3 linked regions of the Saccharomyces cerevisiae S288C genome follow. The protein of the gene in region 2 binds, or shares a complex with, the protein of the main gene of each other region. Each region holds a gene or a part of one and is shown on either strand. Other genes may lie near its edges.

What was found. The genes of interacting proteins can lie anywhere in the genome.
Region 1: MRPL32 (region 2) and MRP20 share a complex: the UniProt entries of both Saccharomyces cerevisiae proteins name them as parts of the mitochondrial large ribosomal subunit.
Region 3: MRPL32 (region 2) and MRPL31 share a complex: the UniProt entries of both Saccharomyces cerevisiae proteins name them as parts of the mitochondrial large ribosomal subunit.

What each region holds. Positions count from the first base shown.
Region 1 is NC_001136.10:1,276,027-1,278,937, reverse strand, and holds MRP20 (mitochondrial 54S ribosomal protein uL23m MRP20), read right to left. Parts: upstream 1,293-2,911; coding exon 501-1,292; downstream 1-500. Other genes in the region: DNA-directed RNA polymerase II subunit RPB7, read left to right, coding at 1,769-2,284; DIT1 (Dit1p), read right to left, coding at 2,726-2,911. UniProt on the Saccharomyces cerevisiae protein: Component of the mitochondrial ribosome (mitoribosome), a dedicated translation machinery responsible for the synthesis of mitochondrial genome-encoded proteins, including at least some of the essential transmembrane subunits of the mitochondrial respiratory chain.
Region 2 is NC_001135.5:116,780-119,680, reverse strand, and holds MRPL32 (mitochondrial 54S ribosomal protein bL32m MRPL32), read right to left. Parts: upstream 1,062-2,901; coding exon 510-1,061; downstream 1-509. Other genes in the region: YCP4 (flavodoxin-like fold family protein), read left to right, coding at 1-106; septin CDC10, read left to right, coding at 1,333-2,301. UniProt on the Saccharomyces cerevisiae protein: Component of the mitochondrial ribosome (mitoribosome), a dedicated translation machinery responsible for the synthesis of mitochondrial genome-encoded proteins, including at least some of the essential transmembrane subunits of the mitochondrial respiratory chain.
Region 3 is NC_001143.9:184,786-187,394, reverse strand, and holds MRPL31 (mitochondrial 54S ribosomal protein mL60 MRPL31), read left to right. Parts: upstream 1-1,713; coding exon 1,714-2,109; downstream 2,110-2,609. Other genes in the region: APL2 (Apl2p), read left to right, coding at 1-935; CMC1 (Cmc1p), read right to left, coding at 1,103-1,438; HSK3 (Hsk3p), read left to right, coding at 2,383-2,592. UniProt on the Saccharomyces cerevisiae protein: Component of the mitochondrial ribosome (mitoribosome), a dedicated translation machinery responsible for the synthesis of mitochondrial genome-encoded proteins, including at least some of the essential transmembrane subunits of the mitochondrial respiratory chain.

The DNA of each region.
Region 1 (2,911 bases), on a different chromosome or scaffold from region 2:
TAGCAGTATTCTTTTCCCTCATCGTCTTACCATCGTGCCATACCTTAACCCCGGCACCGTGCGTTGCAGATCCGCCCCTCGCGGACCCGCTCGAGACTCTCCGCGGAACGAGCATGCGGACGGCTCCGCGCCACTGTCTCCGCAGGCATCCGTGCATGGCATCCCGCGGAAGCGACCCTGAAAATAATAAGTAAAGCAACCAATGTTCTTGCTCTTTGCGCGAACAAAAATAAAAAAAGAACAGAAATACAGGCCACCTTCCAGGGCAGGGGAAGGGGATGCCATCATCATTCTTTTCTTCCGTAAGGCATGTTCTACAGCCACTTCATATATTTTTGCGTTTGTTGCTCGGAAAAAGTAATGTTCTTAATTTTCTTTCTTTTTTTTTTTTTCTGTTTAGAGATTATGTAGTTTGCTCCGTATATACAAGTGTGAGGGGTGCAAGATGCTTATCTGGGTATTTGCGTGTGGGTTAACGAAGGGGTGGAATGGGAAACCTTCTAATGTAGATCTTCTATGTACCTGTTCAGGGCAATTAGTTTATCTGCGCGCTGCAGTTCGGCGGCGTGACGCTCTCGCTTATTGTCTATCTCTCGTTTTAAGAAGCGAGGTATAAAAGGCTGGGCCACCCGTTCGTAAGGCCCCACGACTCCGTCGAATGCTGTGCCGGGTTTGTTGGCGTCTGAGCCCAAGCAGTTAAGTCTTTCTTCACGGTACTTTTCCATGTTGTCAGGCGTGGTGCTGTCCCAGAAGGAGTTTTCGTCCGGACGGGGTTCTTCGGGCCAAATGAAGGGTTCTTCCATCTCGATAGTCATTTTCTTGATCTGCGGTTCTCTAAACCGCGTCGTCTGTAGGTTCATACGGTTAAACTTCCCATGAAGCAGCTGCGTCGTAATGTTCATTGCTCTTAAGCCGTAGATATGATAAAGATAGTCTCTGAGATCCAGTTTGTTGAACGATTTTGGGACGATGAATTTTGCTTGATACGGTGTGTGCTTCGCGTTGGGCCTCAAGAGGATGATCCTGGCCTTGGGAAAGTAGACTTTGTTACCTCCAACTTTGAAATGCTCCTTTCCCTGCTCTATGCCCGCCTTTGTCCACTTATAAATCTTCTCGCTTACGTTTATATCTACTTCGCGATCGCTGCCGCTTTTGTCGAGTATTTTGGAGGAACTCTCCACCACTGAGGCTAGTGATCTTATTGGAACCTGCTCTGGCTTGCAACTTCCTACTGCAAGTGTTTTTTGCAAAGGATACAACATATTCTTCGTTCCAACCGTCAATCGTGGCATATTCTGTGTTGGTGTTGCGTACTTTTTATTTTTATTTTATTTTTTTTTCTGTTGGAGCCTGCTAATCAAAGCACATTATTTGTTAGTAGCGTTACGTTCTCCACAAGAAATGTATGTACATTTCAAGTTCTAATACCATCGTTTTCCCTTTTTCATCGAGAAAATTCGTATAACGCGATTACGTATTAAGTGATCTTCTGTGGGTTTCAACGGCTATTTTGAAAAATACAAGGAAAATAAATGCGGTATTCCTATATCCCAGTGAAAATGCCAATAACGTAGACAAGCTCACTTCGTCGATTTATTCTCTAACATTGGGTCGATCAGGTCTGTCCACCTATCTCTTCTCCCAGAATATCATAGCCTTTCTTTTTCCGTTTCTCCTCCTACACCATTCTCCTTTGCGATTAGACAGTGGGAAAGTCCAAGAATAGATTCACATTTCAACCACTGTATAAATAACTCAATTTCTGAGAATGTTTTTTATTAAAGACCTTTCGCTTAATATTACCCTTCATCCGTCCTTTTTCGGTCCTCGAATGAAGCAATATCTAAAGACAAAACTATTGGAAGAGGTTGAAGGTTCGTGTACGGGTAAATTCGGATATATTCTTTGTGTCCTAGACTATGATAATATAGATATTCAACGTGGGAGAATATTGCCCACAGATGGGTCCGCCGAGTTCAACGTGAAATATAGAGCTGTAGTTTTCAAACCATTTAAAGGGGAAGTAGTGGACGGCACAGTCGTTTCATGTTCTCAGCACGGGTTCGAAGTGCAAGTAGGTCCAATGAAAGTATTTGTGACAAAGCATCTGATGCCTCAAGATTTAACCTTTAATGCGGGTTCAAACCCACCATCATACCAAAGTTCCGAGGATGTCATCACCATAAAAAGTAGAATTAGAGTTAAAATTGAAGGTTGTATCAGTCAAGTGAGTTCTATTCACGCAATCGGTAGTATCAAAGAAGATTATTTGGGTGCTATTTAATCACTTGTTACTCCGCAACGCTTTTCTGAACGCCCGCCTTCGCCTTTCATTATCATTCTCATCCCAAAAGAACTGTGCATGTTATTTGCAATACTTCATATACGCTCTGTATTATTAATAGTATCATTAATTACGTCAATTGAAATTCAAAATATCATCTTTGACAGTAACATCTATCCTCTTAGACAACTAGGGCCATTGCAGTGTCTCGAAACCATTAATATCACTGAAAAGATGAAAAGAAAGGCAAATATATATTGATCACTAATTTTCTAAGCTAAAGAATCTATTCCCCCTCTGTTAAATGGAATTGTGTGAAATAAAATATTATAAAATCAGAACTTTGGGGGGGAAACATAAAAAAATGAGAAAAAGAAAACGAACTAACTAATGTTTAAGTAAAAGAACAAAAAGGTAGACCAATGTAGCGCTCTTACTTTATTAAGAGATTTTCTTGATAACGAAATGTCCTCCTTCTCCAATATCGAAACGAGTATCTTTCCATACACCATCATACATACCCTTTTCGAGAGCCTCCTTGACTACTTTTGATTTTGTCAAAAAGTATTTCTCCTTTTCATCCTCAACCTTCACGACACAATTATGCCAAGGTGTGGGAATATGTAA
Region 2 (2,901 bases):
GACCACTACTTCTGATGCGGCTAAGAGACAAACTAAACCTGCAGCAGCTACAACTGCAGAAAAGAAGGAGGACAAAGGATTATTATCCTGCTGTACTGTCATGTAAGAAACAACAGTTCGCGTCTAATATTTAGTTCTTACTAACATTAATTCTATCTCAGCAGATATATCAATGTAGGACGTTGGAAAATTAATAAAGAATTAACTCTTTTTATTTTATTTTTTCCTTTTTATATTAAAAGTATATTTCTGTAAGTCCTTGTACTAATAATATCATTTCCTAATATTTTGAAATATAGTTGTTTTTTGTCAAGCAAAACTCTTGATTTCAAAGACCTCATTTTGTTAAGCCAAAAGCGAAAAATTCTATTTCGACTTTTCTTTCTGTTTCCGCTCCTTGTATTCTACCATTGATGCTGTCTTAAACAATAAATATACAGTTTGAAATTAAGTTTCTATATACAGGCTTAAGTTTATTTAAAAAGGAAACCACTAGATGAAAGATGAGCCTAGTCCTTTTTTAAAGTCCGAACGCGACGTTCCAAATAGTTATCTTTATCTTTCAAATCCTTGGTATATTTGGTATCTCTTCTACCAGGATATAGGACTCTTTGGTCTAGTTCGGAAAGTTCCTCCTCTTGTCTCGGCTTAATTTCTTCTTTAGCGGTATGCGTTTTCCATATATGACTTATTTGTCCAACACAATACATACACAGTGTATTGGCTCTCTTATAATGGCCGCATGATGGGCACTTATTCAAATGGTGAATCATCTTCAATTGCTTCTTACCTGGACCGTAAAGTTTTTGCCTTTTTTTTTGGTGTGATACTTTTTTTTTAGGAACTGCTAGTAGAATACCATTATTAGAGAAAAAATCTTTATCTTCAGTGTCCTTATGATCTTGTTGTAGCTTTTCTCTCAACCAACGGTGGATAGATCCCAGTTGTTTTTGGCCTGGAATCTGCAGTGAAGGATTTCCTAGCGGTACCAACCACCCAATTGCAGTGGTAGGCACAATTTTGTGAAATGCTAATTGTTTACCAAAAATCAAAGAATTCATAGTTTGTTTGCTGATATTCCCTGGTGTTTTTGTCTCCAAGTTAAGGTATTATTTGGGAACATTGTGCCTTATATTAAGATTTGCTTTCTGAATGCTTGCGGAAATAATCGTATGATACGATGAGATTTCCTCGAGAGACCACAAATAGATCAGAATCGCTGAATAGAATATATGTAAACATGTATCAGTAATACTTAACTTTTTTCAGGCAAAGACAAGAAAATACAAGGCCAAGCCCCACGGTTACTACAAGCACTCTATAAATATATTAATGGATCCTCTCAGCTCAGTACAGCCTGCTTCTTATGTTGGTTTTGATACCATCACGAATCAGATCGAACATCGTCTGTTGAAGAAAGGTTTTCAATTTAATATAATGGTTGTTGGCCAATCCGGATTGGGTAAAAGTACTCTAATAAATACGTTATTTGCCTCACATTTGATTGATTCTGCTACTGGTGATGATATTTCTGCCCTGCCTGTTACAAAAACAACTGAAATGAAAATTTCTACTCATACTCTTGTGGAGGACCGCGTTCGCTTGAATATTAATGTTATAGATACACCTGGATTTGGTGACTTTATTGACAATTCTAAAGCTTGGGAGCCTATTGTGAAGTACATTAAGGAACAACATTCTCAATACTTACGTAAAGAATTGACAGCCCAACGTGAAAGGTTTATTACTGATACAAGAGTTCATGCAATTCTTTATTTCCTGCAACCAAATGGAAAGGAGTTGAGCCGCCTTGACGTTGAAGCCTTGAAAAGATTGACAGAAATAGCAAATGTTATACCAGTTATTGGCAAGTCGGATACATTGACTTTAGATGAAAGAACGGAGTTTAGGGAGCTTATTCAAAATGAATTCGAAAAATACAATTTCAAGATTTATCCTTATGATTCGGAAGAACTAACTGACGAGGAATTAGAACTAAACAGAAGTGTTAGATCTATCATTCCGTTTGCAGTGGTTGGTTCTGAGAATGAGATTGAAATAAACGGTGAAACCTTCAGGGGAAGAAAAACTCGTTGGAGCGCTATTAATGTTGAGGATATCAACCAGTGTGATTTTGTATATTTAAGGGAATTTTTGATTCGAACTCATCTCCAAGACTTAATCGAAACAACTTCCTACATTCATTATGAAGGGTTCAGAGCAAGACAATTAATTGCCTTGAAAGAAAATGCGAATAGTCGTTCCTCAGCTCATATGTCTAGCAACGCCATTCAACGTTGAATCTCATAAGAATGGTGGTGATTATATATCTTATGTTATTAAGAATTCTCAAATTATTCTATATGAAAACACCGTAACTTGCTTCTCTCCTTGGTTTTACATAATGACATAATGCGATCGAAAACTAGAGGTACAGGTATTGCTGGATTGGCGAGAGTTTTTACCTTCTTTTCTGGCGTACAGCTATCACCTTCTCGTTTGGTAAAATGAAAGAACATTTTGTTGTCTTAGCCAAATATTTAATCTATGAAGAAAACGGAGTTTACCGGTAATTCTAAATAAAAGTTTGGTTAGGGATTGTGCCTCATAGAGAAGCAATTGGTACTCATCTTATTAAAGTATTACTATAAACATTAGAAAGAGTCCCTGAGCGTTGCTAATGGGAAGCTATTCGCGCTTTTAGTAAATTATTAAAATACGCCAAAAATAAATGTAATCCGGATATACCTCTTCTTTTAACCTTCCCAAACGTGTCCCACACCAAATTGAGCACCCTGCTCGATTATCATATGTCTACTTCACGTCTACACCAGTATGCGATCTGATTCAATGTTGTTTTACTTTAATATATAGGTCTTGTATTTATTACAGATTAATATA
Region 3 (2,609 bases), on a different chromosome or scaffold from region 2:
TAGAAAGACAAGACACAATAAAAGACGACTGCTGTATATCATTATGTGATTTATTAAGACATTGCCCCGGAAACGATAAGATGGCCAAACAAGTTTGTGCAGTATTTAATACTTGGTCAAATCCAGAGGTGTTATTACAATCAGATATTGCGAAGTGCAACTATGTCTGGTTGCTAGGACAGCATCCCAACAATTTCTCAGATTTGGAGTCAAAAATCAATATTTTTATAGAGAACTTTGTTCAAGAGGAAGCTTTAACACAGATGTCTTTACTAATGACAATAGTCAGACTACATGCTACTTTAACGGGTAGTATGCTACAAAGCGTCCTAGAATTGGCCACACAACAGACACATGAATTAGATGTGCGAGATATGGCTATGATGTATTGGAGATGCCTTTCGATGCCAAATAATGAAAGTTTGGTTAATGATCTATGTCAAAATAAACTTCCAATGATCTCCAATACACTGGAGAAGTTTTCACCAGAAGTGCTAGAGAAACTATTAATGGAATTGGGTACTATAAGTTCCATTTATTTCAAGCCCGACTCAAATAGGAGAAAAGGCAAAAAGTATGTTCAAAATATAGTTAAAGGAAAACATATAGAGGAATTAGAAAGCATGGCAAAAAATGAAATTTCTAGCAAGGCTAACGATGATGTGCTATTGGATTTTGATGAAAGAGATGATGTAACAAATACAAATGCAGGAATGCTGAATACTTTAACAACTTTAGGCGATTTGGATGATTTATTTGATTTCGGACCATCTGAGGATGCCACACAAATAAATACAAATGATACCAAGGCTGTACAAGGGTTGAAGGAGCTGAAACTAGGTGGCGACTCAAACGGTATATCTTCTGGTGGTAAAAACAATCCCGATGTTTCGGGCGGCAATATAGTGTCACAGGATCTCCTCGATTTATTCTGACTATAAACGTCCGTTGTAGTGAACTTAAGTATTATACCATACATATATACCCTTCGTATTAATTTTTCCTTTTTATTGTTGGGCTGTGTGTATATAATTTATGTACAAGAATGGATATATCAAAAAATCCTTAAAAGATGTAAATCAAAAACATCAATCAACACAGCTTATTTTGTAGAGCTTTGTTTTTGACATAACTTTTCAAGCTTGTTGATTTTTTCTAAAACAATTTTATCCCTTTCACCATCTAAATATTTCTCATCTGTTTGATAAAACAGGAGGCACGATTTCATTTCATCTCGTTGCTTATCACAAGTGGGAAAAACTTTCATTCCATTTGCCTTAGCACAATCTGCCATTGCTTGAACAAAATTTGCACATTTTTTGTATGTTTCCGTCTTCAAGTTCTTGCGAGCCTGTTGTTCTTCGCGAGGACTTAGCACCCATATAGGTAGCCTAGAACTATGTTTCGAGATCATCTGCGGATCTTTGTTTTGCTCCATCTTATCAAATATATGAAAGTTGTTCCAGATAACTTGAAGATATTCGACTTTTGTATCTCTGGCTTTAATTATGGTTAAATCTTCCTAAACTATCATAGGTATAAATACAGGGCACTCCGTTTTCAACTTTATAATCGGAGAAGTACAAGAGCATTCAAAAAGTTCAAGAGAACGGTATAACAAAAGGACAAAGGGAAGCCAAAGAGGGAAAAAAGATATCCGTACTTTGTAGGAAGGAGACGTATTTAAAAGGCTACCCAAGTTATAAGACTCCAATGTTTGGCCCATTCAAATTAACAAGCCCCGTCGCTGGTGGCCTACTATGGAAAATTCCATGGAGAATGTCCACACATCAAAAAACCCGTCAAAGGGAAAGATTAAGAAACGTTGATCAAGTCATAAAGCAATTAACTTTAGGTCTCCACGTCCAAAGATGTCAGGATAAAGGTCTTACTTATCAAGAAGCCATGGAGAGCAAAAAGAAATACAAGCCAAGAAGTAAATCGTTAAGGTTGTTAAACAAACCATCAGTCTTTCCAAAGGAGAATCAAATGTCTTCTAAAGATAAATATTGGACTTTTGATAAAAAAGCTGTTGGTTATAGGAAGGGTATTCATAAGGTGCCCAAGTGGACGAAGATTTCCATTAGAAAGGCCCCAAAATTCTTTTGAATGATACGTAAAAGATCGTTTTATTGATATAAAAATTTCATCTGTATATAGTTTAATCATTGAATAACTTGTTTATAGATCCATGTTTGAAAGTAACACTCCTAAGAAGGCTTTGATGTTTTGTATTGCTCATATTATATCATGCCCATTGAAATCAACGTTATTTTTTTGTAAAGGTGGGAAGAAAGATCAACAAGATAAATGGCGAAATAGAACATATCAGAACATTTGAACTTCAAAACGAAGAGGACACAAAGAATTTCAGGCAAGAGAATGAACGCTAACAAACAAAGGCAGTATAATCAGCTTGCACACGAACTTAGAGAGCTTCAAACGAATTTACAGGAAACGACAAAACAACTAGATATCATGTCGAAACAATGTAACGAAAACTTGGTAGGCCAATTGGGTAAGGTACATGGAAGTTGGTTGATAGGTAGTTACATTTATTATATGGAGCAGATGCTTGGAAAAACGCAATAAGGCATAAGAGGTAAGAC